Macaca fascicularis: one gene and its partner. The main gene of each other region encodes a partner of the protein of the gene in region 2 in a complex. Links are inferred from orthologs where the notes say so. Each region holds a gene or a part of one and is shown on either strand. Other genes may lie near its edges.

Region 1 (4,357 bases), on a different chromosome or scaffold from region 2:
AGTTTTATGGATGAAAAAGGGCAGAGAAAAATAGAAACAGAAGAAAAAAAAGTAGATTGGTCATTTCAAAGTTACTTGTCTTGTAAAGGTTAAAGAAGAAAGGACTTCCGTATCATGCCGGCTAAAACTGGCCTGTTTGGGGTTTTGGCTGTTCCTTCTCTCTCCTGATTCCTCTGAAGGTTTGATAAACAACTTAGTGTTGCTTAGTGACATGGAACTTTAGCATGAGTGACTCCATTTTGGTTTGGTCTGTTGGGCCTAGCACAGGAGCTCAGTGCAAACCAATAGCCTCCTATATAATTGAACCCTTGTGCATCGCTGGTGGGAATATAAAATCGCTGCAGCTACCATGGAAAATCATATGGCGATTCCTCAGAACATTAAACAGAATTACCATAGGATCCAGCAATTCTATCTGTGGGTGTATATCCAAAATAATTGAAAGCAGAGACTCGAACAGATATCTGTACACTCACATTCAAAGCAGCAACATTCACAACAGCCAAAGGGTGGAAGCAACCCAAATGTCCATGGAGGGATGAATGGTTATGCAAAATGTGGTACATCTATACAACGTAATATTATTCAGTTGTAAAACGGAAGGAAATTCTGACACATGCTACAAAATGGAAGGATCTTGAAGATATTAAGTGAAAGCAGCCAGACCCAAAAAGACAAATACTGTATAATTCTACTCATATCAGGTGCCTAGAGTAGTCAAGGGGAAGTTACTGTTTAATCGCTATAGAGTTTCAGTTTGGGAAGATGAGAAAGTTCTAGAAAAGAATGGTGGTGACGGTTACAGAGCAATGTGAGTGTACTTGATGCCACAGAACTGTATGCAGTAATTACAAATGGTTACAGTGGTAAATTTTGGCCAGGAGTGGTGGCTCATGCCTGTAATTCCAGCATTTTGGGAGGCCGAGGTAGGAGGATTGATTGAGGTCAGGAGTTCAAGACCATCCTGGGCAACACGGTGAGATCCTCATCTTTATAAAAATACATTTTAAAAATTTAAAAATTACCTGGGCGTGGTAGCACACGCCTGTAGTCCCAGCTACTCGGGAGGCTGAAGTGGGAGGATCACTTAAGCCAGAAGTTCGAGGCTACAGTGAGCTATGATCTTACCACTGCACTCCAGCCTGGGCGACAGAGCGAGACACTTCTAAAAAATAAAAAATGAAAAGGTAACATACATGTGTATGTATTGTAACACCATTGAAACATAGAAATTTAAACGAAGAAAAGCTGGCTTCTAGCCCTTGGACCTAGCAAAGCTGGCAGAGTCCTCACCTACCAATATAGGTAGGTGACTCCTTACACGTGGACAAGCACGTCCACCTGGTCGCTTCGCCCCTACCCTCCCCTCCCTTCCCCTTCCCGCGTCTCCCCTCCCTTCCCCTTCCCGCGTCTCCCCTCCCCTCCCCTCCGCTCCCCTCCCCTCCCCCACACATCCATGTTCCGACCCTGCCACCCCTAACAAGTCTCACTGCGCAGGCGCGGAGCGGTGGGCAGGAGCAGGCGTGGCCTGACTGTGCGCTTGTGCCGAATTCCAGCTGCGACTGCTGAGGAAGAAAATGATGCCCAGGTTGGGCTCCACGGCCCACCGGCCGAGGAGAGGCCTGCGCTGCACACGCGCAGACCGAGCATCCGCGTCAAGAGGCGAAGAGAGCGCGCGCTCCCCACGTCCTGCGCGCCTGGCTGCCAGGCATTCGTCTCAGCCGTGACTCTCGCCAGGCCGGGGCTGGGGCGCCCACGTCTGAAGAGCGATGCCCCGGGAGATCATCACCCTGCAGCTGGGCCAGTGCGGCAACCAGAGTGAGCAAGCGAGCGCCGCCCCCACCGGTCTCTGGTTCTGCCCCTTTGGGTCCCACCCAAGTGCCTGGCTTCCACCAGTCCCCCTTCCCCTTCCATGAACCCCCTAGCCTGCTGCTCTGGATAACCCAGACCGAGAGCTGCGCTCCCAGCCCGGGACTGGGGCAGCCACCAGACCCAGGCATCTTGGGTCCACCCTCTGATCGTGTCGGCCTCTGAGACTAAAACTGGGCTCCTCAGGCCTTAAGGCTCCAGCAGACCCGGGCATCTCCCCCCTCCCCCAGTTGGGTTCGAGTTCTGGAAACAGCTGTGCGCTGAGCATGGTATCAGCCCCGAGGGCATCGTGGAGGAGTTCGCCACCGAAGGCACTGACCGCAAGGACGTCTTTTTCTACCAGGTGCCCCCAGCGACTTGGCCAAGGGCGGCAATGGCCCGAGGGGCCAGAAGGGAAGGGAGTGGCCTGGTACTGGGAACCCTGCTGGGCAGTGGGGCCAGGCGGCTGGCTTGAGGAGGGAGGGCTGGAGGGAGCCAGAGTTGGGAGGACTTAGGACTTGGGCCACCCTAGCTGATTGGGCCCCCTCCTGGACTCCCCTTGACAGGCAGACGATGAGCACTACATCCCCCGGGCCGTGCTGCTGGACCTGGAGCCCCGGGTGATCCACTCCATCCTCAACTCCCCCTATGCCAAGCTCTACAACCCAGAGAACATCTACCTGTCGGAGCATGGAGGAGGAGCTGGCAACAACTGGGCCAGTGGATTCTCCCAGGTGTCCGGGCGACTATTCCAGAGACCTTTGATAGTCCCATCCAGAGGCAAGGGAGGCTCAAGCTACTAGGAATTTGACCAGACTGCCAGAAAATAAGAGACAAAAGGATTCCCCAAACAAGAGGGACAGCCAGGGAGAGGTTTATGCAAATTTTGTGCAAATCATTTGCAATAGTAGCACTTCTGGGTTGAGGGCTACAGCCTAGGCTTTGCTTCAGGGTGGCAACAGTATTCCAGGGTAGACAGTGCTGTACTGAGAAAAGATGCGCTCTGGAACCTTTGGCCTGACCCTCCCTTTCCATGTCTCTATACAGGGTGAGAAAATTCATGAAGACATCTTTGATATCATAGACCGAGAAGCAGATGGAAGTGACAGTTTAGAGGTGAAGTTATGGAGTGGGGGAAGGAATGGGCAGGGAGGCTGAAGAGTGCTGGGGAAACGTCAGGAGGTGGCCTGGATAGGTGATGTGAGGGGAGCAATTCAATTCAAAACCCATTTATGGAGCATCAGATGTGGGATATTGAGGTGAATAAAATATAATCTTTGTTCTTAAGGAAGTCATAAATCTGAATGGCACTGGCCCCTTAGGCATGAGTCACTCAGCTTCTCCAGCTCCAAACCTTCCCAAGGAGCCTCAGCCTGGATGCGTAAGAGGAAGCTTTGAGACATGGGCGTTTTGGGAATGGGGAATGAGCCATGCCGAAGTCTTCCCCCAGATCCTTGGAGACTGCCTCTCCGTCTCTCCCCATGCTGGGCGCGATGTGTTCCTGGCTTACAACTCTTATAACCCATGTAATTTCCTAAGGGACTAGAGCAATAAGAGTATGTTTTGTTACAATATTTGACCTTTCGTCCTTGGTTTCTGAAACAGCTCCAGAACAGCTCCAGAGTGATAAAGGTGAAAGACAGTCTTTTGTTATTTATAACAAGCCCCTTTCTTTTAGATTAATCTTTCATTTTATTTTAATTAGTTAATTTTACTAACCGCTGTACTAAGGAGGAACAAGTGCATTTCAACCAAACCTGAGCTTATGTTAAAGAGGCGATTTTTTGGAAAGTCCCAGATAGCCACTGGATGGGGTGTTGGTTGCCAGGGGAACAAACCTGGTGCTCTGAGGGTTGGAATTTACAGGCCCATCCCTCACCTCTGGGGAAGGGAGAGGGATGAAGATTGAGTAGAGCACCAATTGTCAATGATTTAATCAGTCATGCCTGTGTAATGAAGCCTCCATAAAAATCCAAAAGGACTGAGTTCGGGGGCTTCCAGGAAGGTGAACAAGAACACATCCACAGGCCGGGAGGCTGCAAACCCAGCACCACAGGGCAGCAGCTCCTGTGCGCCGGAACCTTCCAGAGCTTCCCCTCGGTATCTCTTCATCTGGCTGTTTATTTGTATCCTTTAAAATATCCTTTATAACAAACGGGTAAACGTAAGTGGGTGTCTCCTTGAGTTCTGCGAGCTACTCTAACAAATTAATTGAACCCAAGGAGCAGTCCTGAGAACCCCAATTTATAGCCGGTTGGTCAGAGGCACAGATAAAACAACCTGAAGCTTGTATTGGCATTGGAAGTGGGAGAGTCTTGTGGGACTGAGCCTTCACTCTGTGGGATCCGATGCTATCTTTAGGTACGGATACTTCTCAACTTACAGTGGGTTTATCAGGACATCACAAATTGAAAATATTGACTAGGCACAGTGGCTCATGCCTGTAATCCCAGCACTTTGGGAGGCTGAAGCGGGTGGATCACCTGAGCCCAGGACCTGGGCAACATGG
Region 2 (3,561 bases):
TTAAGAGGAACATGCGATGAATCTGCTGTCTTACTGGTTCTTTTTGTGGTCCGAACTGAGCAACTGTGTCTTGTTCACGGACAAGGCCTTCTTGAAGTCGTGGTTTTTCCGCAGTACTAACCAGTTCTATAAAAGATGGGAAGAGCACAGTGGACAGAAAGAGCATCAACTCAAGCCCCACTGCACCATGATGCCTGTTTTTGGCAGAAACTCGGAGGGATGTGGCCCTGGTACCACAGAAAGCAATGGCAGGGGTGGCAGGAACCGAACCTCAGTGCCTCTGGAAGAGTGGGGAAAGTTCCCTGTATCACTTTTCCTAACCAAGTTGTTGCATTTCAGATCAACTGTACATACAACTTCCTGATCTTTCTTTCAGGTATTTGACATCCGTAAACCCACTGCTGGAATACGCACCATTTTGGCATTTCTATACACATAAAAAAAGATCGACAACCACCAACCTCTTTTTTTTCTTTTTTCCAGATCTCCGTATGCTTCCCTTCCCCACCAACCTCTTTTATTAAGGGCTAAAATTAAATTAAATTACAATTTATCTGCTGAAAACAAATCTTACCACCAAAAAGTAAAACATCCAGACTATATTTTGCCCACTTTATTTGCAGTAAGAGAAGAAACACTTGATTATAAATTTTTTGACATTCCAAACTTATAACAATGTCCACGGGCCATGGGACCTATGAAACAAAAACACAATTAGAACAGAAATAACCAATTACTTGCATGTTTTAATTTTAGTAGAAAACACTGTTCATACAAATAATATAAGCATATACCTTGTAGCTGAGGGTCAGACCGTCTAAGATATGAACAGGCAGTTTCTTCTTAGCTGTGTCAACATTTTCAAAAGATATAGATAGACTAAAGAAAGAAATTTCAGTTTTAGTTTGTGAAAGCACTATGTCACACAAAAATCCTTTTAAAATAATTAGTATTTACACAATATTCCCCAAAAGATACTGCATTTCATAAAAGAAATGCAAACATTTCAACAAATGTATCTTTTCTAACATATATTCCAGAGCTGAAATTTGGATTTAGAAATAACAGAGAGGGGGAAAGCTTTTACATAATGAGTTTAGTTGTAGAAGAGACACAACAATGGTAGTAATTAGAAAAAAGATGAAGCTGAGGAAGACAGTAAACCTCAGGCAATGGCTGGGAAGATGAAGCCTCTGCTGAGGTTGGGGGTGGGCAGGGGAGGACGAGCAGAACAGCTCGAGGGAGCTTAGCATGCGGTGAGAGTATTGCTTTGAGAGCCCCATCAAGATGGGACGGGGTCTGCTTCTACACCAGAGGTGTTGTGCAGTGCTTCATCCACGAGTTCGAGACAGGTTTGAACATGACTCATATGGGAAAGCAAGCATCTAACATGGACATGAAAATGTCCAAGTGCCAGGCACTATTATGTGTCCTTAGCTCATTTAATCCTCAAAATAGTCCCATCAGTGGTTCCTGAGAAATGTCCTCTTTCACGGTCACAGAGGCACTAAGAGGGGATGCCTGCATGCATATGAAGAAGGTTTAAAGTGGGGAGTGAACTTCCACACCAGAGCTGTCAAAGGGCAGTGTGATTATGAACTGGCTGATTGTGACACAGGCACTAGTCAGAAATTTTAGCTCTCGGCCAGGCGCGGTGGCTCACACCTGTAATCCCAGCACTTTGTGAGGCCGAGGCAGGCGGATCACGAGGTTGGATCGAGACCATCCTAGCTAACACGGTGAAACCCCATCTCTAGTAAAAATAAAAAAAATTAGCCGGGCATGGTGGCGGGAGCCAGTAGTCCCAGCTACTCAAGAGGCTGAGGCAGGAGAATGGCCTGAACCCTGGAGGCGAAGCTTGCAGTGAGCCAAGATCGCACCAGTGCACTCCAGCCTGGGCGACAAAGCAAGACTCCGTCTCAAAAAAAAGAATTTTTAGCTCTTAATGGCCTGGTATGCACGCATTCACTCAGTGCTCAGTAGATATCTACCAAATTCAATACTAAGTTAGCTGCTGCACTGAGCAGGCAATAGAAAGCCACTCTCTCTTCCCTCCAGGGACTCCCAGCCCAGCGCAGCACATGAAGATGCAGGAGTGAGCAGACCTCTGCCGGGCCCAAGAATTGGAGAGTATGTCACAGGGAGGCGAGAGGACAGCACGTGCAGACACCAGAAATATTCTGAGATCCCTGAAATGCAAAGTGAGATAAGAGAGAGAACGTGGTGTGTATGGTGCAACACATGAGGCTGGGAAAACGGAGCCAGACAGTTAATAGCTTTCTCCCTTCTGAGACAAAGCTTAGTCCATTTGTTAGGAGGCACCCACGGCGAGCACACGCATGAGTGGTGGAAGTCACTGCTGGTGGTCTGAGGTCACTCTGGTGAGGGTCAAGTCTGTTTTGGTGGAAGGCAGTGAGGCTGAGAGAGACAGGCCATCGGGGAGGTCTGAGCCAGTTCTGTGAGGTCAGGGGCATTCTCTAGGAGGCGGGACTGATAAACCTCACGTGTGGGAGCTGAGAGAGAGGAAGCACTGGCTCCAGCCATGTGAAGGAGGCCACCAGACCCTGACAGGCTGGATGGTGGCAACTTTTTTTTGTAGGGACGAGGTCCCACTATGTTGCCCAGACTGGTTGCAAACTCCTGAGCTCAAGCAATCCTCCCAACTTGGCCTCCCAAAGTGCTAGGATTACTGGCATGAGCCACTGCACCTGGCCATATGGTGGCATCTCAACATCTTTTCTTGTTTAGCGGCAGACTCACTTAGCTGGCCTCTGCCTCAATTTTCTTTTTTTTAAAATGGAGTCTCGTTCTTGACGCCCAGGCTGGAATGCAGTGGCGTGATCTTGGCTCACTGCAACCTCTGCCTCCCAGGTTCAAGAGATTCTCCTGCTTCAGCCTCCCAAGTAGCCAGGATTCCAGGTGCCTGCCACCATGCTTTTGGTATTTTTAGTAGAGATGGAGTTTCACCATGTTGGCCAGGCTGGTCTCGAACTCCTGACCTCAGGTGATCCAGCGCCTCTGCCTCCCAAAGTGCTGGGATTACAGGTATGAGCCACCGTGCCTGGCCTCCATTTTCTAATAAGTAAAATAATATTAGTAAAACTCATAGGAATAGTATGAGAATAAAATAATCTGTGTAATTCATAGATGACTTATTGGCACACAGTTCATGTTATACTAATTTAAATAAAGGTGGCTTCCATAATTTACCGTGAACTATCCTCAGGATAACGCTGTCCTACTGCTTCTTGGAGTTGGACATTAAGAAAAGACACATTCTGCCATGTTTCCTTTTCTCTTATTTTATCAAAAATGGATGTGTAGAAGTCATACATGGTATCTCCTCCTTCCATTAAGAAAAAATTTCTCATGGCTTGCAAGTATTCTACCAACCTGCATGGAGATAAAATGAGTGACACAAAGATCTCTGGTGTTCGTAAGGCAGGATTCTGGATCAACACCAGGTTTTGTACCCTGTTTTTAGTGAAACAAGTTTACATTCTACATTTACTAAAATTAGAAATATTAACACCTCTTAGGCCGGGCGCGGTGGCTCAAGCC

Evidence for each region. Proteins that work in one complex are often made in the same cells at the same time.
Region 1: TUBGCP5 (region 2) and tubulin gamma-2 chain share a complex: the UniProt entries of both Homo sapiens proteins name them as parts of the gamma-tubulin ring complex. The link is inferred for Macaca fascicularis from reciprocal best matches to the Homo sapiens genes TUBGCP5 and TUBG2.

Annotation. Positions count from the first base shown.
Region 1 is NC_088390.1:63,716,548-63,720,904, forward strand, and holds the start of tubulin gamma-2 chain, read left to right. Parts: upstream 1-1,547; 5' UTR 1,548-1,769; coding exon 1,770-1,818; intron 1,819-2,099; coding exon 2,100-2,212; intron 2,213-2,414; coding exon 2,415-2,582; intron 2,583-2,895; coding exon 2,896-2,964; intron 2,965-3,453; coding exon 3,454-3,480; intron 3,481-3,827; exon of another isoform or gene 3,828-4,209; intron 4,210-4,357. UniProt on the Homo sapiens protein: Tubulin is the major constituent of microtubules, protein filaments consisting of alpha- and beta-tubulin heterodimers. Gamma-tubulin is a key component of the gamma-tubulin ring complex (gTuRC) which mediates microtubule nucleation.
Region 2 is NC_088381.1:483,236-486,796, reverse strand, and holds part of TUBGCP5 (gamma-tubulin complex component 5), read right to left. Parts: intron 3,394-3,561; coding exon 3,211-3,393; intron 3,076-3,210; exon of another isoform or gene 2,761-3,075; intron 880-2,760; coding exon 795-879; intron 696-794; coding exon 575-695; intron 127-574; coding exon 1-126. UniProt on the Homo sapiens protein: Component of the gamma-tubulin ring complex (gTuRC) which mediates microtubule nucleation.